4 linked regions of the Anolis sagrei genome follow. The protein of the gene in region 1 purifies or fractionates together with the protein of each later gene. This does not show direct contact. Links are inferred from orthologs where the notes say so. Each region holds a gene or a part of one and is shown in the gene's direction. Other genes may lie near its edges. The genes, in order: SQSTM1, VDR, CD44 and SPRED2.

Region 1 (7,455 bases):
ATTATGTAGTCACTTGTGCTCCTTCTATTTTTATCAGTTTTAAACTTATGTATGCAATGCTTTTGGTGTTAAATAAATAAATACTGGAATTCTAAGAGCTCGCATGGTATTGTGATTTCAATGTTGGAAGACTAAAGACCTCGTAAAACTGCAAAACCCAGGATTCCAAACTGGCTCAGCACTGCATAGAATGACTATAGACTGCACATCACCCAAAGTGCCAGTAATGTCCCTGTATTGCTAAGGAATAAAAGAAAAGAAGAAGGCCATCAGCATGAAATAGAAACCTGGCCTCCTCATTATCAGCTTTCAGTTTCCCCAAGGGTTCAGGCAGCATCTTTTGTGAGCTACATCTCTTTCAAACCATCTTGAGATGCAGGCCAACTGTATCTGAGCAACGCACAGTCTGCAAAATGTCATAGCTAATGTCAGTAATGTTTTCACTGCCATCTGGTTCGGTTTTAGAAGAGCATGTCCAGAAGAACACACAGATTAGATTCAGCTAACAAAGACTTACAATACATGAAAACAAAAGGAATCTCCATTAAGGCAACATATAAATGTCTCTTCCTACAATATGTTGTTGTTTTATTTTTGCAAACAGGTCTAAAAAAACCCCCTTAGTATCAACATCAAATGTCAGCTGCTAGAGGGGGTCCAAAAGACAAATCATTCCCAGGTGTGCCCGATCTTATTTCTAAAAATATAATACTGCCATTTGGAACAGTAAGCAAATGTGCATTAATCCACTCATTTGCAACTCCTGCTCTATGGCTCGCTAAAGATGATGGCTTGCTCTATTTGTTCCTGTTACATCTACGCATGTTTTCTTAGAAGCAGAACTCACTGAACTGAAAGAATGGTTGTGTAATCATTTATAATTACTTAATATCTTTGAATTGAATATTTATTTTCAGCCTATTTCAATTTCAGAGTAGAATGCAATGTAAAATTATCAGCACCTCTTACCAAAACTTTGAAAGAATGAATACATTGGGGATCATATAGTATAGTGCTTCTCAACCTGTGGGTTCCCGGGTGTTTTGGCCTAAAACTCCCAGAAATCCCAGCCAATTTACCAGCTATTGGGATTTCTGGGAGTTGAAGGCCAAAAACATCTGGGGACCCACAGGTTGAGAATCACTGATATGTACATATACTGTACAATGTACATATAGAAGATCAGTGATCTGAATTTTTCCACCTTTGTACATAGGTTGGCCTGTGTGAGCTTCTATTGATGATATGAGGACATCCAACAGAATCACCTATTCATCATTTTAATTTAATACCTTCCTAACAATCTTTCCTCCCATTAAATTCCTTTATTTATGTAGTTGTTAACTGGGTGTGTGTATACACACACACAAATACATATATCGAATATATGTGTATAAATATCATATGTATATACACAGAAATGAACCTGGTTGCTTCTAACAAAGCGTACTTCCTTATCAGGGGGCATGGACTGTAACTTCATACAGGCAGCCCCCAAGTTACAGACAGGATACGTTCTGTAGGTTTGTTCTTAAGTTGAATTTCTATGGAACAGCTAAATGGTGTTTGTTTTGCTGTCTGTGCCCCTGTTCTGAGTTTACCACACTTTCTGTCACTGTGATAATTGGCTTTCAAAACCTCCGGTATGCTGTGGAAACAAGGATTGGTGAGAAAGCTTCTGTGGATACCAATTTTCCCCCTGATAACTCTTTCGGGAGTGAATTTCCTTCCTGACGGGCAGATTCCTCTCACTTCCTATTGTCTCACCTCCATTCTTAACTATGAGTTGTTTGAAATTTAGATGTTTGTGACTTGGGGGCTGCCTGCAACGGTCATCCTGAGCCACCATAATGAAGTGATTTGAGGGTTGGAGTATGACTCTGGGCTCCTTCTCAACTGGGTTCGTTCCCCTTTGGCAGGCTTCAGCAGATAATATAACAAACAGCAAACTTATCGTTTTGGAGTTCAGAAACCTCTGGAAAGAGAATGGACAAAGTTCATGTGTTCGAAAGGGAACTCTATCCAGGTAACAGGACAGCAGGTAACTAATGATCTTCTATGAGCCAGTGTGTGTAATGGTTTTGAAATTTGACTAGGAGTCCCCAGTGGGGCAATGGGTTGAATCCTTATGCCAGCAGAACTGCGGACCAAAAGGTTGGCGGTTTGAATCTGGGCAGTGGAGTGAGCTCCCATCTGTTAGCTCCAGCTTTCCATGCAGGGACATGAAAGAAGCCTCCCACATTTGGGCTGGGGAGCAGAGTGAGCTCCTGCCTGTCAGATCCAGCTTCCAATGTGGTGACATAAGAGCCCTTCCACAGGATGGTAACACATCCGGGTATTCCCTGGGCAACGTTCTTGCAGATGGCCAATTCTCTCACACCATAAGCAACTTGAAGTTTCTCAAGTTGCCCCTGAGATGGAAAAAAATATCATTGGACTGATTCTGGAAACAAGGGTTTGTATCCATACTCAGACATGTAAATAATATTACTTCTGGGAAACATCAGTGGGGCAGCAGGTTAAACTGCTGAGCTGCTAAACTTGCTGATTGAAAGGTTGGTGGTTCGAATCCAGGGAGCTGGGCCCAGTTTCTGCCAACCTAGCAGTTCGAAAACATGCAAATGTGAGTAGATCAATAGATAAGGGAAGTTAATGGCACTCCATGCAGTCATGCTGGCCACAGACCTTGGAGGCGTCTAGGGATAATACTGGCTCTTCTACTTAGAAATGGAGATGAGCTGTAACCTCCAGAAGCAGACATGATTCAACTTAATGTCAAGGGAAAGCTTTACCTTTACCTTATGTGTATATACAGTAGTCTATACATCCCATGTAGACTACTGCAATGCTCTCTACGTGGGGTTGCCTTTGAAGATGGTCTGGAAGCTTCAACTAGCCCAACAAACAGCAGCCAGGTTGCTAACAGGAAAGGCGCTCAGGAAGCATGCAACCCTCTTGTTGCGCCAGCTCCACTAGCTGCCGGTTTGCTACCAGGCCCAACTCAAAGTGCTGGCTTTGGCCTATAAAGCCCTAAACGGTTCTGGCTCAACTTACCTGTCCGAACGTGTCTCCCCTTACGAATCATTGGGGACTCTAAGATCGTCTGGGGACTCTAAGATTGCTCTCGGTCCCGCCTTCGTCTATAGTACATTTGGCGGGGATGAGAGACAGGGCCTTCTCAGTGGTGGCCCCTTGGCTATGGAACACCCTCCCTATGGAGATTAGATCTGCTTCCTCCCTCTTAACGTTTCAGAGGCAAGTTAAAACATGGCTGTTCGAGCAAGAGTTTACAAATGCAGAGTAGCTAATATAGGAAAGATTTGACAATGGAACTGGACAATGCTTGATAATAATGAGACGCTAATGATTTTTATTGCTTTTGTGGTTATTTATATTGTTTAATGTTTTTATCTGTATTATGTTTTTATATGTACTGATTTGTTGGAAACCTCCTTGAGTCGCCGATTGGCTGAGAAGGGTGGTATACAAATACAATACATAAATAAATAAATAAATAAATATGGTGTATACAAAACATAAACGAATCCTGGTCTCAAAACATCCTGGTCTCCATCTGGTTCCTATGTAAACACTTGCACAGTGAAACTGTTTTCATCAATACTGGTTTGAAACAGCACTAAATGGTCAGTGTTGATGTGTCCTGATGCAGTTTGGGGCCAGTTTTGCCCACCTGGGTGTGATTCAGGAGGGGCTGGTGAGTCCTGGGACCCTTCTGCCCTTCTGGGCCCGACACCTGAAGGGAAAGGTGGGGCCAGGCAGGGCAGCCAGGTGCCTTTTGAGGCCTACCTACCTTTTCACTGGAAGCAAGGCGCAGTGAGTCAGCAATTGGACAAAAAGAGGCGGCGCCTGCCTCGGGAGGCTCCAGGGAGGCGGCAGGGCAAAGTTCGCCCTTGTTTCCCCCGCAGGGCTTGGAGAACTAGAAGGTGCTGAGTAACGCTGACAAGGGGGCTTTCAACCCCCTTTCCCAAGCCCAGGCCACGCGTTTCTATGTTTCCACCTCCTTCCTTGTTGTTGATACATTGTCATTCTTCATTTTCGGCATGGGCCAACTTGGGCCTTCCTCCAGGTGTTTTGGACTTCAACTCCCACAATTCCTAACAGCCGGTAGGCTGTTAGGAATTGTGGGAGTTGAAGTCCAAAACACCTGGAGGAAGGCCCAAGCTGGCCCATGCCTGGTGTAGAAGGGGCTCTGCCTCCTCCCTCCCTTTTGCAAACAAAAACAAACCAAACTCTCTTTCTGGAAACTGCCAGGCTCTTCAGTGGCGTGATGTCTCTCCACTTGGCCTTGCGTCACCCTCCCTCCCTCCCTCTCTCTCTCCCTCCTTCCCTGCCTGTTCCTTGGCCCGTCCTCCCCAGGCAGGGGCTTTCCCAGCCTCCGCCCGCCCCTCCGCTGCCCGCCTATAAGAGGAGCCGCGGGGCGGGCGGCAAGGCGCAGAGGCAGTCCCCGCTGGAGCCCAGGGCAGAGAGAAAGCCGGTCCGGAGGAATTCCTGCTGCGCCATGGCCCCGCTGACGGTGAAGGCCTACCTGTTAGGCAAGGAAGAGGTGACCCGCGAGATCCGCCGCTTCGCCCTCGACAGGCCGCCCCGCTTCCAGCCCATCCGCGACAAGGTGGCCGAGCTCTTCCAAGGCCTGCTCCGAAATGCCAGCCCCGGACCCGCCGGCGCCTTCCAGATGTACTACAAGGGTGAGTCAAGGAATGTGGGAGCCCCCAGGGGACATCCAGCCCCGACCCGCCACAATCGAAACATTCCCGACAGATGGCCACCCGGCCTCAGATTAGAAGGCCCCCAGGGAAGGAGGTGCTCTCCCTGGCATCCCATTGTCAAGGGATGCTCAACCGGCCCCATCCTGGCACCATCAAAACACTCCCGACAGATGGCCATCCAGCCTCTGAATAGAAGGCCCCCAGGGAAGGAGGTGCTCTCCCTGGCATCCTGTTGTCAAGGGATGCTCAACCGGCCCCATCCTGGCACCATCAAAACACTCCCGACAGATGGCCATCCAGCCTCTGAATAGAAGGCCCCCTCTGAATAGAAGGGAAGGAGGTGCTCTCCCTGGCATCCTGTTGTCAAGGGATGCTCAACCGGCCCCATCCTGGCACCATCAAAACACTCCCGACAGATGGCCATCCAGCCTCTGAATAGAAGGCCCCCAGGGAAGGAGGTGCTCTCCCTGGCATCCTGTTGTCAAGGGATGCTCAACTAGCCTTACTAAATACAACAAGGGGCTGCCAACCCTAGAATCGAGCCATAGAAGGGACCTCTAATCTGACCCCATCCCGCCACAATTGAAGCACTTCCGACAGATGGCCATGCAGCCTCTGAATAGAAGGCCCCCAGGGAAGGAAGTGCTCTCCCTGGCATCCCATTGTCAAGGGATGTTCGACCGGCCCCATCCCGGCACAATCAAAACATTCCTGACAGATGGCCATCCAGCCTCAGATTAGAAGGCCCCCAGGGAAGGAGATGCTCTCCCTGGGATCTCATTGTCAAGGGATGCTCATCCGGCCCCATCCTGACACAATGGAAACATTCCCGACAGATGGCCATCTAGCCTCTGATTAGAAGGTGCTCTCCCTGGCATCCTGTTGTCAAGGGATGCTCAACTGGCCCCACTAAATACAGCAAGGGACTGCCAACCCTAGAATTGAGCCATAGAAGGGACCCCTAATCCCACACAAAGAAGTTGGCAACCCCATCCCACCACAATCAAAGCACTCCTGACAGATGGCCATCATGCCTCTGATTAGAAGGCTCCCAAGGAAGGAGATGATCTGGCATCCCATTGTTATGGGATTCACAACCAGTCCCACTAAATAAATATAGCAAGGGACTGCCAACCCTAGAATCGAGCCATAGAGATGGAAGGGATCCCAATGGCCACCCAGTCCATTCAGTAACACCCAACCAAAGCACTCCCAACAGATGGCCACTTAGGCCCCTTCTGCACTGTCCTTATATCCCAGGATCCGATCCCAGGTTGTCTGCTTGGAGTCTACACTGCCATATAATCTGGGATGTATAAAAGGATATAAAATCTCCAGGGAAAGGGATGCCTTCCCTGGCAGCGCACTCCATTGTTAAACAGCTCATACCATTAGGAAGCTATTCCTAATTTTTAAGTGGGATCTTTTCCCTGCAATTTGAATCCATTGCTCTGTGTACTAATCCCCCCCCCCCACCTTGCTGTGACATTCTTTCCAAGGTCTAAGCCACTCCATGTTCCCTCTCAGCCTTCTTTTCTCCAAGGTAAACATTGCTCCACCTCACCAGCTGGGCTTTTGCTTTGTGAAGTGGCAGATCAAGGTCCAGGAAGAAGGCGGCGGCAGCTAGAAATTATTGCTTTTCCTGCCAGATATGGTTTTGGGAGGGGGTGGGTTGAATGTCCAGAAGCACTGTGTAACTCGTGGCTAAGGGCCCTTCCAGACTGACCCTATATTCCAGGATCTGATTTCAGGTTTTCTGTTTATCCCAGATTATCTGGCAGTGTGGACTCCTATAATCCAGTTTAAAGCAGAAAACCTGGGATCGGATCCTGGGATACAGGGCCTGTCTGAAAGGACCCTACTTGGCCCCTAAGTACCCTAGATTTTGTCTGACCTTGGAAGCTAAGCAGGTTCAGGACTGGTTAGTTCTTGGATGGGGGGCTGCCAACCAATACATGCTGTAGATTATATTCCAGAGGAATTGGCCAAACTAGATTACTCTTCATGTAAGAAAGCCAGTGTAGTGTAGTACTCTGAGTATTGGACTAGGACTCTGGAGAATAGTCTCTCTCTGAACAAACCGTGCCAAGAAAACCCCATGATAGATTTGCTTTAGGGCCGCCACCTGCGACTTGGAGGCTCACCACAACAAGAAGAAATCCCAGAGATACTCACGGGATCACCATAAGTCAATGTGCTACAGGCACGCAGCAAGCAGTGGCAACTCATCTGGTATTAGGCTTTAGTGACAAGGTTATATGGTGGGAAGCATTCTCTTACTGAGTGTTTGTGTCGAGAAGCAGTTAAAAATCCAGTGCCTTTGCACACAAAGAAGTTGGCAACCCCAGCTGGATATTCTGTACTAATGTGGAACAGGTGTCACAGCCTAGTTTAATACTAATTTAAAACAGTGGTCAGTCTCTTGAACTAAAGGCCCAGATCTGCTTGGAAATGGCAGTCTGCCACCTAAAAGCTTGCCAGTGGAGACTGGCTCTAGCAGTTGGTTTAGAAAGGTCTTCTGCTCATGTTCAGAGGTAATACTTGCACAGGTTACAACTTACAGGGTTATGAAGTGGCATTAAAAACAATTACGGGCCATGGCCTGTTCCGCTTCCTAACAATGTGTGCATAACCCACATCGTGCCTCTCCTTGTAAATGCGATCCTGCAGCGAATAACAGAAATGTGTGGGGTGGACCTAGTTGCTGGAGGCCTTGTCACCTTATTAT
Region 2 (7,090 bases), about 100 Mb from region 1:
AAAAAAGCTTTTGCTGGGGAAAAAGGAAAATACAGCCAGCTTTGCTGGAAAATAAAGGAATGGTTCCATGGCCTTCGTGGGACAAATCTACAGGACACCAGCTTGGCAGAGCTACAGCAACCATTGCCTGTTAAGGGGCCACTCGGGCTATCCATAACGCAGCTTGGAGCTGGGAGTTGGGGCCTCACGCCAGCAGGGTAAAGAAAGATTGCCCAAGGAGGGGTCAGAAGGTTTCCCTAAAGAAGATAGGAACAGTTTATCAAGCAGTTGCCTGTCCCTTTTTGGCAGATCGAAAAAGCTACCCGTTTTTCAAGATTATATAGAATTTAATTCATTTATTCGAAGATTTACACCTTAATAAAGAACTTTGTGTTGGGAAACCTATGGGACCCTTTATCTGAGGCACCCCGGCATCCCGTTGGGCATACAGAAAGCACGTCCTGTAAACATTGTCATAGGCCCAGCGCGCGACAGCACAAACATACACCAAAATATGATTCAGTACATTTATTGAATGGTTTAATTAGATAGTTTGGGGTACAATTGCTGCTAGGTCCTCCCAAGGATTTCAGCTGCTTTAGAAATCATACATATATTTGTGGAGTCTTCTGTTGGTCCAGATTAATTTGGAAAGGGGATACAGTGGCTCAATAACAGTTTTACAAGTTATTTAGCCTTCTCTGCCAACAAACTCCATCTCTCAGGATTCCCTAGCAATGAGCCATGACAATTAAAGTGGAGCCAAACTGCATTCATTCCACAGTGTAGATGCACCCTAGGAAAGGCAATGCATTAGCTTTTCCCACCAGGACGTTGCTTCTGTAGACGAGTGGGTGAAGATAAGAGAAAATGGTTTCTTTTTCCCTTCCCACAGAAAAAGAAGCACCACAAATGTCCCTTTACATCCTAGCCTGATAATATTTTATCCTCCAGAGTTTTGGGAACAGTTTTTTCTTTCTTTCACCACAGACCATTAACAATGTCTGTGTTGTCCAAAAGTAAACAATAATTTGCCTTTACTTTTTGACGAAATACCTGTTTCTTGTTTGGTACATACTTTATGGTGACGCATTGTTTCCTTCCTGACAAAAAGCCATGCGTGTGGGTGCCTTGCTTACCTCACTAACCTGTTGATCGCCACACAGAAGGTACAAATTGTGTCCTTTCAGCCAGAGAAGGGAAAGTGCCAAACCACGTTGAAATCAGAAGGGAGCTGCCAGAGTTTTCCATAATCTTGGACTACAGCCCAGGAGACCAGTACAAAAATGCAGAAGTAGTTAGTATTCAGTTATCACAGTGGGAGGAAAGGATGGCTGGAGTTTTCTGCTTCCCTATCAGCTCAGGCAAAAGCAATCTGTGGCAGCATCTCCTAACTGGTCTGTTTTCCCTCATTAATGCCTTTTCCTATCTTGCTCTGGTGCTAGGCCATGCATGTTCTGTTTTTCATTTATGAAACGCTGACTTGGCCCAAAAGCAAGACTTTCAATTGCATAGTAACTGCATTGTGATAATGTGCATTTTATTTACTTCATACTCTATACTTTATTGTGGCCTAAAGTGCTATGCATCTACAGCTATGTGAACATGAAATTGTACTAGGTATTTTAGTAAGACTCCTAACACTCTACCCAAATCTACAGTTTTCAGGAATCCTTTGTACCAAAATGAAAATATATAAATAAACTTAACCCAAAACAGAGTCATTATAAAAATAACACAAGAACTTATTCCTTTAATTAATTTAATTTAATTAATTTAATTTAATTAATTTAAAAGATTCCTTGTTAACTTGAGACTTTTAAATGAATTTCCCCTGGACTGCATCTGTGAAACACAATTTTTTGGTTGTTTAGTATTTTTATACAAGGAACATCATTTTACTATGTCATAATGGGATTTGACAGCTTATGGATTTTGGTATCCATAGGGATACTGGAAGTAAATTCTAGGGGAACATATACACAAACGTACCTACACACACACAAAGGTAGTGAAAGAAATCTATTCTTCAGAAAGGAAATTCTCTCCCGAAAGAGTTATCATGGGGAAAAGATGTCTCCACCATATATATATATATATATATATATATATATATATATATATATATGGTTTTGTGCATTTGTTGTAATTAATTTTTGTTTTTTGGCCTTTTATGTCTCTTCTGCTGTGTTTTTCAGTGTTTTTATGAGTGATGTTCACTCATTGGTCTGATAGGTGTATTGTGTTCAAACTTGGTGTCAAGTCGTCCAGTGGTTTTTCAGTTATGTTAATCCCACAAACGAACATTACATTTTTATTAATATAGATTATTTATATAATTCTCTAGGTCTGACTCATGACATGGGCAAAGAAGGGCCCAGCAAACATCTTTGACAGGCCATGGGGAAGATTTTATGGCTACACAATCCAGGCCAGTTGAATCTTAATATGAACAAGGTTAAAATAAGAAGAAAAAATGTATGAAGAAAACTGGATGAAGAGAGATTCAGATTGGCATTTATATATCTCTACATATATGTTTGTAAGCCACCTTTGGTCCAGTTGCGGAGAAAGGCAGAGTAAAATAAATAAAAAATAAATAGGTAAAGGTAAAGGTTTCCCCCTGACATTAAGTCCAGTCGTGTCCCACTCTGGGGGTTGGTGCTCATTTCCATTTCTAAGCCGAAGAGTTGGCATTGTCTGTAGACACCTCCAAGGTCATGTGGTCAGCATGACTGCATGGAGCACCGTTATCTTCCCACCGGAGCGATACCTATTGATCTACTCACATTTGCGTGTTTTTGAACTGCTAGGTCGGCAGAAGCTGGGGCTGACAGCGGTAGCTCATGTCGCTCCCCGGATTCGAACCTGCTACCTCTCGGTCAACAAGCTCAGTGGTTTAATAACAAATAAATACACACAGGTAGATAGACAGGTAGGTAGGAAGTATTCATTAGAGAGAGATGAACAGTATATCATTTATATATACACATTCTTTAAAACTTAATAGTAGTTCTGGTGGTTACTTAAAAGCTATATAAATTATAATGATGATCTAATCGGAATTCCAACCCCCACCTCTTAAAGTCCATTTAGGGCACTTCCAGACAGTCCCTATATCCCAGGATCTGATCCCAGGTTTTCTGATTACCCCAGAATATTATTACAACGTGAATTGTTTTGGATTTTTACCCTTAAAACTGTACATCCCAATGGTCTAAATGATGCCATTTCATACCAGTGTTTCTTGTAAACCAGGGCTCCTCAAACTAAGGCCTGGGGGCCGGATGCGGCCCTCCAAGGTCATTTACCCGGCCCTCGCTCAGGGTCAGCCAAAGTCTGAAACGACTTGAAAGTACACAACAACAACAACCCTATCTCATCAGCCAAAAGCAGGCCCACACTTCCCATTGAAATACTAATAAGTTTGCATTTGTTAAAATTATTCTTCATTTTAATTATTGTATTGTTGTAAGTTGTTTTGCATTACAAATAAGATATTTGCAGTTTGCATAGGAATTCATATTTGTTTGATTTCTCAAATTATAATCCGGCCCTCCAACAGTTTGAGGGAATGTGACCTGGCCCTCTGTTTAAAAACTTTGAGGACCCCTGCTGTAAACTATAGTGTATATCTCTTTAACACTTTCATTACCTGCTCTACCTGGTTTGAGCCCCCTTAATTGCTTCACTTTATATCCCAGAAAATCTGGCAGTGGGGACTCATATAATCCAGTTTAAAGCAGAAAACCTGGGTTCAGCTCCTGGGATATAGGGCCTGTCTGGAAGGGCCCTTAGTCACTTGGGGACACTTCTCTCCTATTGGGATCTTACAGTTGTGACATCCAGCATGCTCAGCTGTGAAGAGTGTATCCCTTATTGAGAGCTGACTCCCAGTTTCCTGTTCTTGGAAGTTGAGTTCCAACTTCAGGAAGGGGGCGGGGTCAGGGTGGGAGGGGCCACGAGAGGAGGCTTCGCTTGTCCCCGCCCCCTGAGCCCTCACATGTGGGAGAAGAGGAGCAGGAAAGGGGCGGGGCTAGAACCCGGGGCCTCTAAAAGCCATGGGCTTGAGGGGGAGGAGCCAAGGCAGAGCCCCGCTCTCCTAGAGGGCGGGGACGATTTGGGAAGTGGGCGTGGTCAGGAAGATGTTCGTTTCCAGTTAATAGGCGGTTGCTGGAAGCGGGGGCGGGACTTTGAGGGAGTGAGTGAGAGCCGGGACCGGGAGCGAAGTTAAAGAGGGGGATTCTGCGCACGCGCAGCTGAGGCGAGGCGAATCTGGTGTAGGCGCGCGTGTGGACGTGTCCGGCGACGTTGTAGAAGCAGACCTCAGTCGGAGAAAGGCAGAAGCCGGTAAATAAAAGTTGGGATCATGTGGGCGGCTGTGATTGTGATGGTTGTTACTGGGGGAATGAGTTTGAGATCAGAAAAGGGTTGGGAGAAGGGATGGATTTATGTATAACTTTCCCGCCTTTTATATGTTCTCCAGAGGACTATTACTACTACTACATTGTCAGTAACTTTCATAGGTGCGTCTATACTGTGGACTTAATGCAGTTTGATACCACTTGGAACTGCCCTGGCTCAATGATACGCACTCATGGAAATTGTAGTTTTATGAGGTTGTTAGCTCTCTTTGCCCTATCAAACTACAACTCCCAGGATCCCATAGCATTGAGCCAAGGCGGTTCCAAGTGGTGTCAAACTGCGTTAATTCTACAGTATGGATGCACCCCTTGCCTCACATTCTCAGTTATAGTTTGCCAGGCATTGTATTCAAAAAGGACAGCCATACATTTGTGCTAAAGTGGTGTCAAACTGCGTTAATTCTACAGTGTGGATGCACCCCTTGCCTCACGTTCTCAGTTATAGTTTGCCAGGCGTCGTATTCGAAAAGGACAGCCATACATTTGTGCTAACTAGCAATGTCAATTCCCTTAGGCAGGAAGCAGCCAGGCTTTGAAGCTGCAAGGCTAATAATAATAATAATAATAATAATAATAAATTACAAGAAATGAGATTCCATCTGAACATGAGGAAGAACTTCCTGACTGTGAGAGCCGTTCAGCAGTGGAACTCTCTGCTCTGGAGTGTGGTGAAGGCTCCTTCTTTGGAAGCTTTTAAACAGAGGCTGGGTGGCCATCTGTCAGGGGTGCATTGAATGCAATATTCCTGCTTCTTGGCGGGGGGTTGGACTGGATGGCCCATGAGGTCTCTTCCAACTCTTTGATTCTGTGATTCTATGATTCTATGTATACCTCGCCACCATCTCCCCAATGGGGACTCGGGGTGGCTTACATGAGGCCAGGCCCAAACAACAAATTACAGCAGAATAAAAAACCAAAAACGCAAACAATAAACAACAACATCATGATTACATAAAACATATTAAGTGCTAATCAAGATGGCAAATTGAAACAGTCACACCTACCTCACATAAACAATCGTTTTTGTCCTACCCTGGACATCCCACAGATATATAAACCCCACTTGCCTAGTTTCCAACTGACCCCCTCAAACTCTGAGGATGCCTTCCATAGATGTGGGCAAAACATCAGGAGAGAGTGCTTCTGGAACATGTCCATACGGCTCGGAAAACTCACAGCAACCCTATCTATGTATTTATATGTGTTGGTTTGTACCACAAAGGCTCTTACGCGGTTTGGTGGATCTAGACCAAACCTGGCGCACATACCCTTCATTCCCTGACTTAAAACAATGGAGGGATTTCGACTGAAAACATGGCCTCTTTGGAGGACAGGACCCCCAAAAGTGAAAAAATGATGGATGCAGTGTTTAAATATGACCACAAGAGGGCAGTGTATAGATAGCAAGGCTCCAGGAGGAGAAACCATCAAGGAAAATGTGCTAGAGCGTCACCAGGGAGGCCCTGAGAAGGCCAGGCCGTTGCCAAGGAGACACTGTGAGGAAGGAGGCCTCTTCAGAAGGCCAGGAAAACATGGCAGCGAAGGGAGGAAGGAGGCACTGCAAAGCGGCAACACGGGAGGAGAGCGGTGCATGACACCGATTACATCTCTCTGTGCATTATATCCAGAGCCCCATTTACACCTCAGTTCCCAAAATCCTCAGCCACAATAGGGCAGTGTGGATTCTGGGAGTTTTAATCCAAAGGAGCAACTCTCCAGTACATAGTTCTGCACATAGTTGTCGCAATTTAAGAAGAAAATGACACTAGTGTTCACTCTCACCTATCCAGATGGATAGGTGAGAGTCGCTTAGGCTGTCGAATTGTTTGGATTGGTCTTCAGTGATCATGGCTTTAAATATGGTTGACGGACTGACAGCCGGAAAGGGGACGTGTCCTAAGAAGAAAATGACCCTGTAGTGTTCACTCTCAAGCGATGGATGTTGCTTAGGCTGTCAATTGTTTGGATTGGTCCTCAGTGATCATGGCTTTAGATATGGTTGACAGACTGACAACCGGAAAGGGGACGTGCCCTCCTTATTAATGGTTGTGTAGAATAATAATAATAATAACAATAACGCTTAGGAAATATTCAACTTGTGATTTTGTGATACGAAATGCAGCGTATAGATCTCGTTTGCTGTGACTTACTGTGTTTTTGTGTCAGTAAAATAATAATAATATAAACCTGCAAAGGTAGTAGAAAATGGACACGCAAAAATACTATGGGACTTTCGAAGCCAGACTGACAAAATTTTGGAACACAATACGCCAGACTTCACAATTGTGGAAAAGAAAAAAGTCTGGATTATTGATGTCGCCATACCGGGTGACAGTCGTATTGAGGAAAAACAACAGGAAAAACTCAGCCGTTATCAAGACCTCAAAATCGAACTGCAAAGGCTCTGGCATAAAGCAGTACAGGTGGTCCCAGTGGTCATTGGCGCACTGGGTGCTGTGCCAAAAAATCTCAGCCGGCATTTGGAAATAATAAACATTGACAAAATCACGATCTGTCAACTGCAAAAAGCCACCTTACTTGGATCTGCACGCATCATTCGAAAATACATCACACAGTCCTAGACGCTTGGGAAGTGTTTGACTTGTGATTTTGTGATATGAAATCCAGCATATAGATCTCATTTGCTGTGACATAATAATAATGATAATAGTTTATTTTTAACCCAC
Region 3 (6,839 bases), on another chromosome or scaffold:
CCTCTAAATAAATGTTTTTAGGAAAACTCTGTTATAAGTTCATGTTAGGATCACCATAAATTGGAAATGACTTGATGTCACATAACAAGAAGAATGAAGACATAGGAAGGTGGAATTGAGAGAAAGAGTGAGAAATCGATGTGCATATCTGCATATCAATTGCGTCAGGGGTGATTTGAATGCAATATTCCTGCTTCTTGGCAGGGGGTTGGACTGGATGGCCTATGAGGTCTCTTCCAACTCTTTGATTCTATGATTCTATGATCTGAGGGTCCTTTCACACAGCCCTGTATCCCAGAATATCAAAGCAGAAAATCCCACAATATCTGCTTTGAACTGGGTTATCTGAATCCACACTCAGATAATGTGGGATTTTTTGCCTTGATAATCTGGGATATAGGGCTGGGGTGGAAGGGCTCCAGGAGCTGCCTACTTCCAGGAGTGAACTTCACAGATAGTAAACTAATATTACACAATAAAATTAATGCAGTTTGACAGTAGTGCAACTGCTATGGCTCAATGCTATAGAATCATGGGAGTTGGAGTGAGGATCCAGCACTATTGGGCCGAGAAAGCTGTAGACCCTGTGAAACTCTAACTTCCATGATTCCATAGCATTAAGTCATGAGAGGTAAAGTGTTGTCAAACTGTACAAAGTGTAGATCAGTGGTTCTCAACCTGTGGGTCTCCAGGTGTTTTGGCCTACAACTCCCAAAATCCCAGTCAGTTTAACAGCTGTTAGGATTTCTGGGAGCTGAAGGCCAAAACATCTGGGGATCCACAGGTTGAGAACCACTGGTGTAGATGAACCCTTAACTGTCAAATCCAAATACTGAACTAGATGGTTTCTCTGGTTTAACTATAATCGTTAGTCTCACTAAATTAACAGGAACTTGGTAAGTCAACACAAAATGTAAGTGCTGTTGGTTAAATTGGCCAAAAATGTCTCTTTTAACAAGATGAATGAGGAGATTTTTGGGGTGGAGGACAGTTCTATAAGTGCCTTTTGGAATAAGTTTTGTTTGTATTTATTGTTAATAGAATGTGTTCAGTCTATCTTAAATAGCATTTGAATCTACAAGAACAAAAACAAGCATTTCAGTATGTAATTAATTAGATGTAACTTGGGAGTTCTGTGGTTAGGATCCCCCAACATTTTATCAAATACATATGATCCAGAATTGCAACAACATAGCAATTTTATGTTTTTCTCAGGAATCAAATAGCAGCCTTTGTAGCTGTTTAAATTGGGAATATATCACGATATATTCCTAATTTAAACTGCTACAAAGGCTGCTAGTTGAGCCTGAAATAGTTAATTATTTCAGGCTCTTCCACAGCTGATGGTTCTTGAAATAATATGGGGCAATTATTCACAGAAGTCATAGTTTCCTGCTTGATTTCAAAACAATTAAGCCTGTGTGGGACGGCTCTGAAATTATGACAGTGTGGGATTAAGACATTGCTGATACAAAGTAGTAGTAGCTTTCCATCCACTATCATAAATTATATAAACATACTACCCAGGGTGGGCAATTACCGTATTTTGATAAAAAGGTATTGGTTTCCCCTTGACATTAAATCTTACTTACTTACTTAGGCGATCCCTCATTGGACGAGTAGGATAGTCTTCCATGATCTGTATTCTTGTGGCTCCATAGGTGGCTGTGGAGCCCTATTCTTGGCCTGCATCTTCTCCCACAGTGAGTGCATTGGTTTCCAGGTAGAAGGTGGTCTTGGTTGGGGTTGGCTTGATGCGCCTTCCTCCTGGCACATTTCTCTCTTTCACCCTCCATTCATGCCTCTTCAAATTCTGCAGCACTGCTGGTCACAGCTGACCACCAGCTGGAGCACTCAAGGGCCAGGGCTTCCCAGTTCTCAGTGTCTATGCCAGAGTTTTTAAGGTTGGCTTTGAGCCCAACTTTAAATCTCTTTTCCTATGCACCAACATTCTGTTTTCCGTTCTTGAGTTCGGAGTAGAGTAACTGCTTTGGGAGACGGTGGTTGGGCATCCGGACAATGTGGCCGGTCCAGTGGAGTTGATGGCGGAGGACCATTGCTTCAGTGCTGGTGGTCTTTGCTTCTTCCAGCATGCTGATATTTGTCATCTCTTCCCAAGAGATTTGCATGATTTTCCAGAGGCAGCGCAACTCCGGGAGTTGCATGTGACATCTGTAGACAGTCCATGTCTCGCAGGCATATAGCAGGGTTGGGAGGACAATAGCTTTATAGACAAGCACCTTGGTATCCCTACGGATGTCCTAGTCCTCAAACACTCTCTGCTTCATTCGGAAAAATGCTGCACTCGCAGAGCTCAGGCGGTGTTGTATTTTGGTGTCAATGTTGGCTTTGGTGGAGAGGTGGCTGCCAAGGTAGTGGAAATGGTCAACATTTTCTAATGTTACACCATTAAGCTGTATCTCTGGCATTAGAGAGGGGTTGGCTGGTAACTGCTGGAACAGCACTTTGGTTTTCTCGATGTTCAATGACAGGGCGAGCTTCTTGTATGCTTCTGCAAAGGTGTTTAGAGTGGCTTGTAGATCTTCTTCTGAATGCGCACAGATAACATTGTCATCAGCATACTGGAGTTCTATAACAGATGTTGTTGTAACCTTGGTTTTGGCTTTCAGTCTGCTGAGGTTTAGACATTAAGTCTAGTCGAGTCTGACTCTAGGGGGTGGTGCTCATCTCCATTTCTAAGTTGAAGAGGTCAAGTGGCCAGCATGACTGCATGGAGTGCCATTATCTTCCTGCCAGTGGTACCTATTGATCTCCTCACATTTGGATGTGTTCAAACTACTAGGTTGGTAATGCCGGGGCTAGCAACAGGAACTCACCCTGTTCTGTGGATTCAAATTGCTGACCTTTCAGTCAGCAAGTTCTGCAGCTTAGCAATTTAACCCACTACACCACCATGGCCCCTCGTACTGCATTTCGATACATAGGTCAAAAAAATATCCTCCCGTACTCTTCACTGTTATTAAATTTTTAACATTAATGCAGGCAGACCACCACATCCATGGATTCTGCACCCACAAATATAACCATCCATGGCTTGAAAATACTTTTTTAAAATGCCCCAAAGCAAGCCTTGATTTTGCCATTTTATATAAGTGAAACCATTTCACTATGCTGCTATTTATAAAGGAACTTGAACATCCACAGAGAGTCCTAAAACTAAATCCCAGCTTTGCATTGATCAACACTTCATGCCAGTGGATGAAGGTGGCCATTTTCCTTTGCCAAATTGTAGGTCCAGCCTTGGGAAATGAAATTTAATTCTCTCCCATTCTCTAATTTTTTTACTAGGCTTGTTTTAGTTATAGTAATCTAAAGAGGTCTGGGATTCTGATTTATGCTATCTGGTTCTCTCCCTGGGGAAATATGTGTATGGTACCTGCATTTGGAGTATGCACATTTCATCCTGGTTCTTATATAGACATTTCATTTCTGGATTCAGAACCACAAAAAGAAAACTAATGAAAAAATATATCCCCGTCTTCTGTGAAATATGCAATACACTTTTGGTGGATGATGTTGCAGAGCTGCATAGAAACATAAATGGATTTATGATGTCTGCTGCAGAGATGATTGGATCAAGAGAAGACTCCTGGCAGAGCCATAATGTAATGCCATTTCTTGCTTGTGCTCTCTGCTTATTGCAGTGAACATGTAGGGGGGGTGGGGTGGAGAGAGAAGGGTAAAGGGATTAAAGCTCATTTTAGAAAATCAATAATTCTAGGTGCCTGAATAAGCTTTGGGAGAGCCTCCCTCCCTCCCTCTCCAAAACCACATGGCATTGCACATCTTTTCCAGCACAACTGTCCCTCTGACTTCACTGGGATGAGTAAAAGCCATTTACAGCCTCCATTAAATGTTGCTAGTAACTGTGCTTACTCATAAGTAGTAGCCTTCTCTCCTCCCCTTTTTGCCTAGTCACTTTTGTTTCAACATGGGTGTGACTTCTCATCTTGCTCCCCTCCCTCTTAAGTCACTCCTTCAGTTACTTTGAATTGGAATAAGAACTGCAGCAAACTTCAGAGGCTGGCTCTCTGAGCAGACTTGACAAGACCTGGGACCTCCCCCACCCCTCGTCTCTCCTTTGTATAGGCTGTGAGGAGAACTTCTTGCCTTTTGCACATTAACCCGAGGAGCAAACAATGGCCAAGTTCTGGTTGTGTGCAGCTGTTGGACTTTACTTGTTGCAGCTTTGCTCAGCACAGATAGGTAAGTGACTTATGAATGAAATCTCTCATACTTGCTGATTTCTCTTCGTATGTTTTCGATAACAAAACAGTGGCAGTTTGGCAGCTGGAGAATTTCTGGCATGTTCAGTTTCTTTGACATTTCACTGTTTCTCCAATGACCATGACACTGAACTGTAACATGTGCATTGTTTTACCAATGCCTCTGTATATAAGTTAGAAAAGTATAGAAATGCAGAAGTTATAAAAACTGAAGGGAGAATATTGATAGTTAAAGTTAACAGTATATACTAGGGAATGAAAAAGCTTCTAACACATCTGGATTATATTCAGTGATGGAAACCGCAGTTATGTATTTATTTTTGATGCTTTCTTTCTGTGAAGCAGACAGTCTGGTGTGTGTTTGGGAGGGATGGAATGACTTCTGCCTTACAATAGCTGTATTTTTGTGTTCACGTATTTGTGAAAAAGATGTGATTGCATACATAAGACATGCAGAAGCTGTAATGCCTTCTTTTCATTGTAACAGGGATGAAAATGTGAGCATTTAACTCAAGAGAAAAAGTTGAAAATGCTAGCTCATTTTAAAAGCTCTTAATCTGAGCAAGGGCTGTGAGATTTGGAAGCAAACTTGCAGTCAGAGTAAGAGAGGATCACTCATTTTCTAAAACTAGTTTTCTGAAGTCCGTCCGTGAATAATGAAATCAAATGCTTATTTGGAGAATGAAAGTGGTTCATGTGTTTAAGAAAAATCACATGTCTATGCCCAAAATGATAAAATGCTCTTAAAGTTTGATGCGATACAGAAGTACGAGTAATAATTGTGCCTTTAACAGAGACTCATTGTTAATAGAAATTGCCTTGAGCTGCTTTGAAGGGAATCTATTATCCTTTCCCCCTTATTTCCCCTCCCAAACCAGTTCCTGGGAGGCTAACAAAACACTTTTTCATTGCCTTCTTGATAGTTTTATATTTAATTGGGCATCTAGAAATAAACTGCAGCATGCTTGTAGCTCTGCAAATGGGTGTGTCAGAGCACACAGTTCCAAACACGTTTTGGAATCATCAGGGGAAAAAATTCCAGTATTGCATTTGTCCCAGTGATTATTGTGTGTTTCATTTTAAAAGAAGTCAGATACTTGAGTGTGCATTTCCCATATATAAGACAGCATTCTTGCTCTCTGTGAGATATATGATACCTTTGTGTGATTTAAATGTTGGAATACATGTAGCATATACATGTATTCTGTAGATTAGTTATACTTTTATTTACTTAGCATTGATCTTCTATGAACTATTAGAACTTCAGTAAGTAACTGTAGCCTGCAATTATGTTGGGCATAAGCTTTCTTGAACAGATGGAAGAAAGCCACTATCCCCATGTGTTCTACTCTTTGGTGCGGTTAACAAAATGTATATCATGCTCCATCTATGCTTCACTGGAAACTTTTTAAAAGCTTAACAAAGTATTATGATATGGCTACAGAATATTTTTGTTGGTATGCAGTACATTCCAGGCAAGCTTTGTAGTCACAAATGGCTTTGCAAATGAAAATCTCTCCTCACCACCCCACACTGAGCTAAGGACCGTGGCTTTTTCATGGAGTTAAGATCATTGGTGGTATAAATACTTTCCCCATTTGTATCTCCAGTAAACCTATTTTCAAGGGACAGTATTGCGATGTCATTTTGGCCAAATGTAATATCATTGAATGAAATAAATATATGTGTAAATAACAGGTAGGATGTGAAGGTTCTCTCAAATAACTTTCAGCTCCCTAGGGAATTTCTCTCTAGAGAAAGCATTTATATTACTTTTATGATAGCCAGTTAATGTGATATAGAATTCTAGTCCATAGTGTTGGATAGAGGCTAGTGAGACTTGAAAGTAAAGCTGGATTTGTCAAAGCCTGGAAAAATTACTTTCTGACCACAATTCTAGAAATCTCTAGCTGGTCATTGCTGGCTTAGATTTTATGGACTGCACAGTTAAGTAACTTTTCCAAGGTTTATTGATTATTCATGAAGCTCACAAAGTTGTAATCGACATTTAACTTTTTCTCAGTTCAACATATACAGTTTGACCCCATTATTCACAGATTCAATATCCATGATTTCTGTTTATAAGTTACCAGAAGTTGTGTTGGAGATTCATAACTGTTCCAATGCCACACTTGAAAATGTTTGAAGGAAACCACTCATACTGGGAGAGCTGGTGACATCATTACTTTCTATGCTATTTTTGGTCAACCATAGAACCTGCCTTCTCTTCTTGTTAAAATTTCATTACACTTTCTTCAAATAAGCCATGCTGCTGGGATTTCAAATAGAAATCCTAGCAGTTCTCAACACTCCATATTACATGACACAATAAGTTGTGGAAGACAGTAGCTCAGTTCCTTAGGTACCACCAAAGCAGACCAACTGTTTAGGTAAAACCACTTGAGTAGATTTCGTTTCTCTAACTCAAGCATCCTCAAACTGTGACTCTTCAGCTGTTTGGGTTTCCAACTCCCAGAAGCTATAGCCAGCTTGTTCAGTGGTCAGGAATTCTGGAGTTGGAGACCCCAATAACAGTTTAAGGATGTTTGCTCTAATGTCATTTTCATGTGCTCTTGTTTTTGCCATTTCCAA
Region 4 (7,625 bases), on another chromosome or scaffold:
AATATAACCTCTAAATCAAAGGCTTTTTTACACCATATAGCTGCTGGCTGTGATTAGAAACAAAGGGAGTAAAAGGAAGTTTCCAAGCCTTAAATAAAGCATTACACAAAAGGCAAATCTACTTCCTGCTCTTTTCAGCAACCTAGATGCCAGTGTTAAGTGAGAGTATTTTTAAGATACTAATGGCAGCTGGATTCATGTAAAAAAACCCATTCTTCTAAATGAATTCAATAAGAAGGGCTGGCGAGCATATATAGCCCTCCAGATGTTGCCCTAACACCAACCTAGCTAGTTTCCTGAGAAGTGAGTAGAGCTGAGTGAGAACTATTTCATTGGTTGCCACTAAACGTCCTGAACCCAGAAATGACATACAAAGCAACAGATCTGAAGCAATGGCTTTGCAGTGCTATTGTAATAAAACCATGCTGGGAAATCATTTGTGTATGTCAAAAGCAATCACTCTTATTAGATCATCAGCTTCATCATACTCTGCAAACTCATGTGCCATGTTTGCCATTCACACGAGAAGACATTGCCACTAAATCCTATGGAGCCGATCACTACTGGCACCACTGTACATCCATGTGAGGTTTTGGAGAATTGCCCAATAAGTATTATGTAATAGTGTTTCAAATACACATGTTGTGTATTTGAAACACATAGCCATCATGATTTATTACCCCACATAGGATTCTTCTTTCTTATTTGAGGAAGCCATAAACAAGCCCTCTAAAAATAAAAAAGAACTGCAAACAGAGGGCCGATCCACACAGCCAAATATCCCAGAATATCAAGGCAAAAAAGTCCCACAGTATCTGTTTTGAACTAGGTTATTTGTGTCCACACTCGGATAATGTGGGATTTTCTGCCTTGATAGTCTGGGATATAGGGCTGTGTGGATGGGCCCTGGGATAACCTGGAATCAGATCCTGGGATATAAGGACTGTTTGAAAGGGCCCCCAGATAACCAGGTTCAAAGCAGATATTGTGGGATTTTCTGCCTTGATATTCTGGTTATTGGGCTGTTTTGCGCTGGATTGTATGGCAGTGTGTGTAAACTCAGATAGTTAGGCGATCCCTTGTTGTCCGAGTAGGATAGTCCTCCAGGATCAGTTTGTGGTGGGTCCGTAGGTGACTGTAGAGCACTTTATTGATTTGCATCTTCTCCCGCAGTGAGGGCATTGGTTTCCAGATGGAAGGCAGTTCCGGTCGGGTTTGGCTTGATGCGCCTTCCTCTTGACATGTTTCTCTCTTTTGCCCTCCATTCATGCCTCTTCAAATTCTACAGCACTGCTGGTCACAGCTGACCTCCAGCTGGAGCGCTCAAGGGCCAGAGCTTCCCAGTTCGCAGTGCGTATTGTCAGAGTTTTTAAGGTTGGCTTTGATCCCATCTTTAAATCTCTTTTTCTGTCTACCAACAAACTCAGATAATCCAGTTGAAAGCAGATCATGTGGGTGATTGGTTTTGAAAATCTGGATTACATGGTAGTGTACAAGGGGGGCAAGGGCCCTTCCACACATCAATATAACCCAGAATATCAAGGCAGAAAATCCCACAATATCTGCTTTGACTGGGTTATGTGAGCCCACACTGCCATATATCCCAGTTCAAAGTACAGGGTGTGACAGCATAACTTCCTTTTTTTAAATGCGTGCCATTCAGTCTGCTGAAGACGCAGTGGAGCGCTAGTGGTCTCGTTCGAGAGGCGGGAGTATAAAGTTTTGTCCTGACACAGTTCAGTCGCCATCATGCGTTGGAACAGTGAGGAGCGTGCTTTTGCCGTTGAGGCCTACTTTTTGAGCGGATTTGGAGTGGCCGGCCCGCCCTCCAGATTTGGCCCCTTGTGATTTTTTTTCTATGGGGTTTTTGAAATCCCGTGTTTATGTGAACTGTCCAAGGACCCAACAAGATTTGAAGATCAACATCCAGGAAGAAATTGCCAACGTAACGCCTGCTATGCTGGCAAGAGTCATGACAAACGCCAGAAATCGGTTTACTCAGTGTATGGAGAATGGGGGCGTCACCTACCTAATTTGATCTACGTAAAACAAAACTTTAGGTATGTGCCTACATTATAAAAAAAAAATTAAAATCTGATTCATACAATGGGAATTAAATTTTGAAAAAAGGAAGTTATGCTGCCTCACCCTGTAGATACTGTGGGATTTTCTGCCTTGATATTCTGTTATATGGCTGTATGGAAGGGCCCTGAGTCCACACTGCCATATATCCCAGTTCAAAGCATATACCAGGGGTCCTTAAACTTTTTAAACAGAGGGCCAGGTCACAGTCCCTCAAACTGTTGGAGGGCCGGATTATAATTTGAAACAAAAACATGAACACTGCACATATCTTATTTGTAGCGCAAAAGACATTTAAAAACAATACAATAATTAAATGAAGAACAATTTTAACAAATATAAACCTATTTGTATTTCAATGAGAAGTATGGACCTACTTTTGGCTGATGAGATAGAATTGTTGTTGTTGTTGTTATGTGCTTTCAAGTCATTTCAGATTTAAGTTGACCCTGAGCGAGGGCCGGGTAAATGACCTTGGAGGGCCGCATCCGGCCCAGGGGACCTTAGTTAGAGGACCCCTGGCATATACTATGGGAATTTCTGCCTTGATATTCTGTGTTATATGGCTGTATGGAAGGGCCCTGAGTCCACACTGCCATACATCCCAGTTCAAAGCAGATACTGTGGGATTTTCTGCCACATATCCCAGTTCAAAGCAAATACTCTGCAGGTACAACTGTACCAGGAGCTCTAATTTTGTTTGCTTTGCATTGAATGTTTGTTGTAGTCCTAAGTTTCAGGGACTCTGCAGATAGGTGGCTTCTTTTTGGCTGCAATCATAGGGCAAGCCACCTGTCAATTATAGTTAGGTTCCCTGGTCCCGCCCCCTTTTGGGGTTTTTTGAGGGAATAGGAGCCTTTTTGGTTCAGTCCACACAGAGAAGCCTTTCATACAGGACATAAAACCAAGAGCTCTTGCAGAAAGCTTCGTCTTCTACGGCTTGGCCAGGGAGATATACAGCCTTACAGCTCCTTTGCTGAGGGAATCTGGTCCCACAGCACTTCAGCCAACCATCACTGAAACCTGAACTCCTCCTTTTTTCCTTGGAGGTCTATAAAGCTCTGTTTGGTAAGGGTCACTCGCGGAAGCCAGAAGCAGTTGGTACCAGGTGTAGGGGCTCCGTGCCAACAGAGGCAAAGACAGACTGCCCAATTAGAAATTAAGGATTTCCCCATTTGTTAAAATACGGTTTATGAAGATAGTGCCTGTTCCCAGTGGACAAGATTGAGAGAGAGCCAATAGACTATTAAGAAAGCCTTAAAGTTCCTGTTTGATTTCAATCATAAAGAACTTTGTTAAACCTTTGAGCAATCTAAAGACTCTGTTTAAGGAAATCCAAAGGCCTTTAATCTGAGGCAGCCCCAGCATCCCATTGGGCACATAAGCACTTTACCAGAACCAATGATTGCTGCACATCGCACATCGCACTTGCCCCAGAAGCCTTATATACACCTCCTGTCACATCAGCACTTTTAATTCTTGTACCCATTACTCTGGCCCGGCCCAGTTTTATTGTGTTTTAGTGTATTGTGCCTGTTGTTCATTTTGCTTTATTCTGTTTTTAATTGTTTGATTTGCTTAGATTGTATTGTTATGTTGTGTGTTGAGGCCTCGGCCTGCGTAAGCCGCATCGAATCCTTTGGGAGATGCTAGCGGGGTACAAATAAAGTTTAATAATAATAATGTCCTGTCTACAGTCTTATGCACAGGCCCAGCGTGCGACAGCACAGATACTGTGGGATTTTTTGCCTTGATATTGTGTTATATGGTTGTACGGAAGGGCCCTGAGTCCACATTGCCATATATCCCAGTTGAAAACATATACTATGGGATTTTCTGCCTTGATATTCTGTGTTATATGGCTGTATGGAAAGGCCCTGAGTCCACACTGCCATATATCCCAGTTCAAAGCAAATAATGTGGGATTTTCTGCCTTGATATCCACACTGCCATACATCTCAGTTCAAAGCAGATACTGTGGGATTTTCTGCCTTGATATTCTGTTATATGGCTGTATGGAAGGGCCCTTAGTCTACACTACCATATATCCCAGTTCAAAGCAGATACTGTGGAATTTTTTGTCTTGGTATTCTGTGTTATATGGCTGTATGGAAGGGCCCTGAGTCCACACTTCCATATAACCCAGTTCAAAACAGATCACGTGGGACTTTATACAGCTGTGTAAAGGGGGCCTGAGAACCCCTTCGAGTGTGTGGGGGAAGCGCTTCTCCCTCCCTCCCTGTAAGCCCCGCCCAAAAGCTGCCTCCTCCTCCTCTTTGGCCCTGGAAGTGAGACTTCAGGGCAGCAGAAAACATTGCAAACTCCAGGCGGCGACTGTGGAGGAGGGCGGCGCGCGCGCGCGCGCGTGTGTGCCACTCTCCGAGAGCTCAATGTATCGCCCGGGGCCATGGAGATCCCAGCCAGCGCGCGACGAGGAGGGGGGCGTGGCTTAGAGAGAGAGAGAGAGAGAGAAAGGGGGCGGGGCGCCCAGGAAGCGCGAGAGAGGGGGGGCGAAAGGAGGAGGCACCTTGGCCAAACCATCTTGAGCCCCGCGAGGAAGGGAGGGAGGGAAGGAGAGAGGCTCCTCGCCTGGCTCTGTTGGAGGGGGGAGGCTCACGAAAGCAGCTGGGCTGTTCACATCACGTCATCGCTTCCGCCCCGCTTCCTCCTCCTCCTCCTCAAGAGTGCTGGCGCTGAAGAATCCAACATGGAGTAAAGGCAGCGATGGGGCTCGGAGGGGGCCGCCGGCTGCTCCTCTTCTTGGGCCCGCGCTGCTTCCCCGCGCGCTGAGCCTCACGCGGGCAACGCTCTCTCTCCCCCCCTCCCTCCCCTTTTCGCACGCGCACCCCCTCTTTCTCCCCCTCCCCCCTCCTCCTCCTCTCCTCTCTCTCTCTCCTTCCGCGCAATGTGAGGCTCGGGAGAAGAAAATGCGGGCCGCCCGCAGCGGGGGATGAGCCTCTTCCAGGAGGAGAAAATGACCGAAGACACCCACCCGGACGAGTAAGTGAAATGAGGAGGCGGGAAACAACATCTGGAAGGGGAGGGGGGAGGGGGAAAGGAGTGGGGGAAAGGGCTCGCGACGCCCCCCCCCCTCGCGCGCCCGTCCTTGATTGAGCTCTGCGTCTCCATTGCGCGCGCGCGACCTGAGGGCTTCTTCTGCCCGCGAGGCCTAAAGGGAGGGGGAGGGGGGAAGAGGCAAGTTGCAAGCCTCTTCTCCTCAGGTTTTGGGATAGGTGGGTGGGGGTAAACACACACACACACACGCCCCCTTGCCCTCACATCCGCCATTTCTTTCTTCTTCCCTCCCTCCCTCAACCCCCGTCTTCTGCTTTTTTCTTTCTTTCTTGAATCAGCCTCATTTGCATACCACATTTCCATTCATAAAAAAAACAACAAGACTCGAGCTCTCTCTGGCCAGGAGAGGCCGCGAGGGCCGCAGGAGTTCGCGCGCGGGCTGCCTCGCGCTCCCTTCCCTGGAGGGGGGGGGAGGAGGGGAGAGAAGAGGAAGGAAGGAAGGAGGGGCCACGCGCCCAAACTTTCCTCTCAAGTCAGCCCTGCGGCGCGGAAAGGAGGCCCAGGAGCCTGTGTTGTTTGGGCTCTCTCTTGTCTGAGTTGCAGGCCTCTCTCCGCGCTCTCTCTCGTTGGCGGGGAAAGGTGGCTGCGTCGGGATGGCCGCCAGTCTCTCTCTCTCTCTCCTCGTTCATAAGAATTCCGCCCGTGCGGCGGCGACTCAGGCAGCTTCCCGTTATTGTCACGTGACACTGACATTCATAAATCCGGTAACCTTCAGCCTGCTGCCTCCATTCACTGACTTACTCGGTGGCTGGCTGGCTGTCGCCGCCCTTTTCCGTTCCTGAACAGTCCCAGGCTCACGAAGAAGAAGAAGCAGCAGCAGCGTGTGTTTCTGAGGGTCCTTCCGCATAGCCATATAACCCAGAATATCAAGGCAGAAAACCCCACAATATCTACTTTGAACTAGGTTAACTGAGGGCCCTTCCACACAGCCATATAACCCAGAGTATCAAGGCAGAAAACCCCACAATATCTACTTTGAACTGGGTTATCTGAGGGCCCTTCCACACAGCCATATAACCCAGAAGATCAAGGCAGAAAATCCCACAATATCTACTATGAATCAAGGCAGAAAATCCCACAATATCTACTTTGAACTGGGTTATCCGAGGGCCCTTCCACACAGCCATATAACCCAGAAGATCAAGGCAGAAAATCCCACAATATCTACTATGAATCAAGGCAGAAAATCCCACAATATCTACTTTGAACTGGGTTATCCGAGGGCCCTTCCACACAGCCATATAACCCAGAAGATCAAGGCAGAAAATCCCACAATATCTACTATGAATCAAGGCAGAAAATCCCACAATATCTACTTTGAACTGGGTTATCCGAGGGCCCTTCCACACAGCCATATAACCCAGAAGATCAAGGCAGAAAATCCCACAATATCTACTATGAATCAAGGCAGAAAATCCCATAATATCCACTTTGAACTGGGTTATCTGAGGGCCCTTCCACACAGCCATATAACCCAGAAGATCAAGGCAGAAAATCCCACAATATCTACTATGAATCAAGGCAGAAAATCCCATAATATCTACTTTGAACTGGGTTATCCGAGGGCCCTTCCACACAGCCATATAACCCAGACTATCAAGGCAGAAAATCCCACAATATCTACTATGAATCAAGGCAGAAAATCCCACAATACCTGCTTTGAACTGGGTTAGCTGAGGGCCCTTCCACAGAGCCATATAACTCAGAAGATCAAGGCAGAAAATCCCACAATATCTACTTTGAATCAAGGCAGAAAATCCCACAATATCTACTTTGAACTGGGTTGTCTGAGGGCCCTTCCACACAGCCATATAACCCAGAATATCAAGGCAGAAAAGACCCCGGAGTCTGGTGGAAGCTCCTTCCTTGGAAACTTAAACCATCTGTCAGGGGTATTTTGATGTCCTTTTCCTGCTGGCAGGGGGTTGGACTAGATGGCCCATGTCGCCTCTTCCAGCTCTTATTATTCTATGAAAGCAGATATTGTTGGTTATCTGCCTTGATATTATGGGTTATATGGCATTGTGGAAGGGCACTGGATTATCTGCCAGTGTAGACACATACCATAGAGTTGGAAGAGATCACATGGGCCATCTAGTCCAACCCCCTGGCACGCAGGAAAAAAACAATCAAAGCACCCCTGACAGATGGCCATCCAGCCATATAATCCAAATAATGTGTTCTGAAATGGGCTTTATAGGGCAGTGTAGATCCAGCCTGAGTTGAGAGTGTTGGGAGGCCACAAGGCCGGGTCAGGAGTTGGGCTTCCTCAGCGGAGCTTATTCCAGGCCTTTCCAACCTAGAAATGGGAAGTGACTGCTGTTTTCCTACTACTACTCTTGCCTCAGTGTGATCTGAGACATCTATGCAAAGGATTTTGACTGGTGCCCATTCCACTGTCTGAAAATGGAGAAAGGACAGCAAGTAATTCTTCTCAAAATACCTTGGGCCAGGAATGGATAAGCTTC

The links.
Region 2: the proteins of SQSTM1 (region 1) and VDR purify together in Homo sapiens (affinity purification with western blotting; 3 studies listed by BioGRID and IntAct, with this or other methods). This does not show direct contact. The link is inferred for Anolis sagrei from reciprocal best matches to the Homo sapiens genes SQSTM1 and VDR.
Region 3: the proteins of SQSTM1 (region 1) and CD44 purify together in Homo sapiens (affinity purification with mass spectrometry; 3 studies listed by BioGRID and IntAct, counting the BioPlex papers as one, with this or other methods). This does not show direct contact. The link is inferred for Anolis sagrei from reciprocal best matches to the Homo sapiens genes SQSTM1 and CD44.
Region 4: the proteins of SQSTM1 (region 1) and SPRED2 purify together in Homo sapiens (affinity purification with western blotting; 3 studies listed by BioGRID). This does not show direct contact. The link is inferred for Anolis sagrei from reciprocal best matches to the Homo sapiens genes SQSTM1 and SPRED2.

Annotation. Positions count from the first base shown.
Region 1 is NC_090022.1:86,649,206-86,656,660, reverse strand, and holds the start of SQSTM1 (sequestosome-1), read left to right. Parts: upstream 1-4,432; 5' UTR 4,433-4,519; coding exon 4,520-4,706; intron 4,707-7,455. UniProt on the Homo sapiens protein: Molecular adapter required for selective macroautophagy (aggrephagy) by acting as a bridge between polyubiquitinated proteins and autophagosomes.
Region 2 is NC_090022.1:191,049,258-191,056,347, reverse strand, and holds the start of VDR (vitamin D3 receptor), read left to right. Parts: upstream 1-4,079; 5' UTR 4,080-4,329; intron 4,330-7,090.
Region 3 is NC_090021.1:268,957,936-268,964,774, forward strand, and holds the start of CD44 (CD44 antigen), read left to right. Parts: upstream 1-3,826; 5' UTR 3,827-4,160; coding exon 4,161-4,227; intron 4,228-6,839. UniProt on the Homo sapiens protein: Cell-surface receptor that plays a role in cell-cell interactions, cell adhesion and migration, helping them to sense and respond to changes in the tissue microenvironment.
Region 4 is NC_090021.1:154,161,793-154,169,417, reverse strand, and holds the start of SPRED2 (sprouty-related, EVH1 domain-containing protein 2), read left to right. Parts: upstream 1-4,614; 5' UTR 4,615-5,032; coding exon 5,033-5,082; intron 5,083-7,625. UniProt on the Homo sapiens protein: Negatively regulates Ras signaling pathways and downstream activation of MAP kinases. Recruits and translocates NF1 to the cell membrane, thereby enabling NF1-dependent hydrolysis of active GTP-bound Ras to inactive GDP-bound Ras.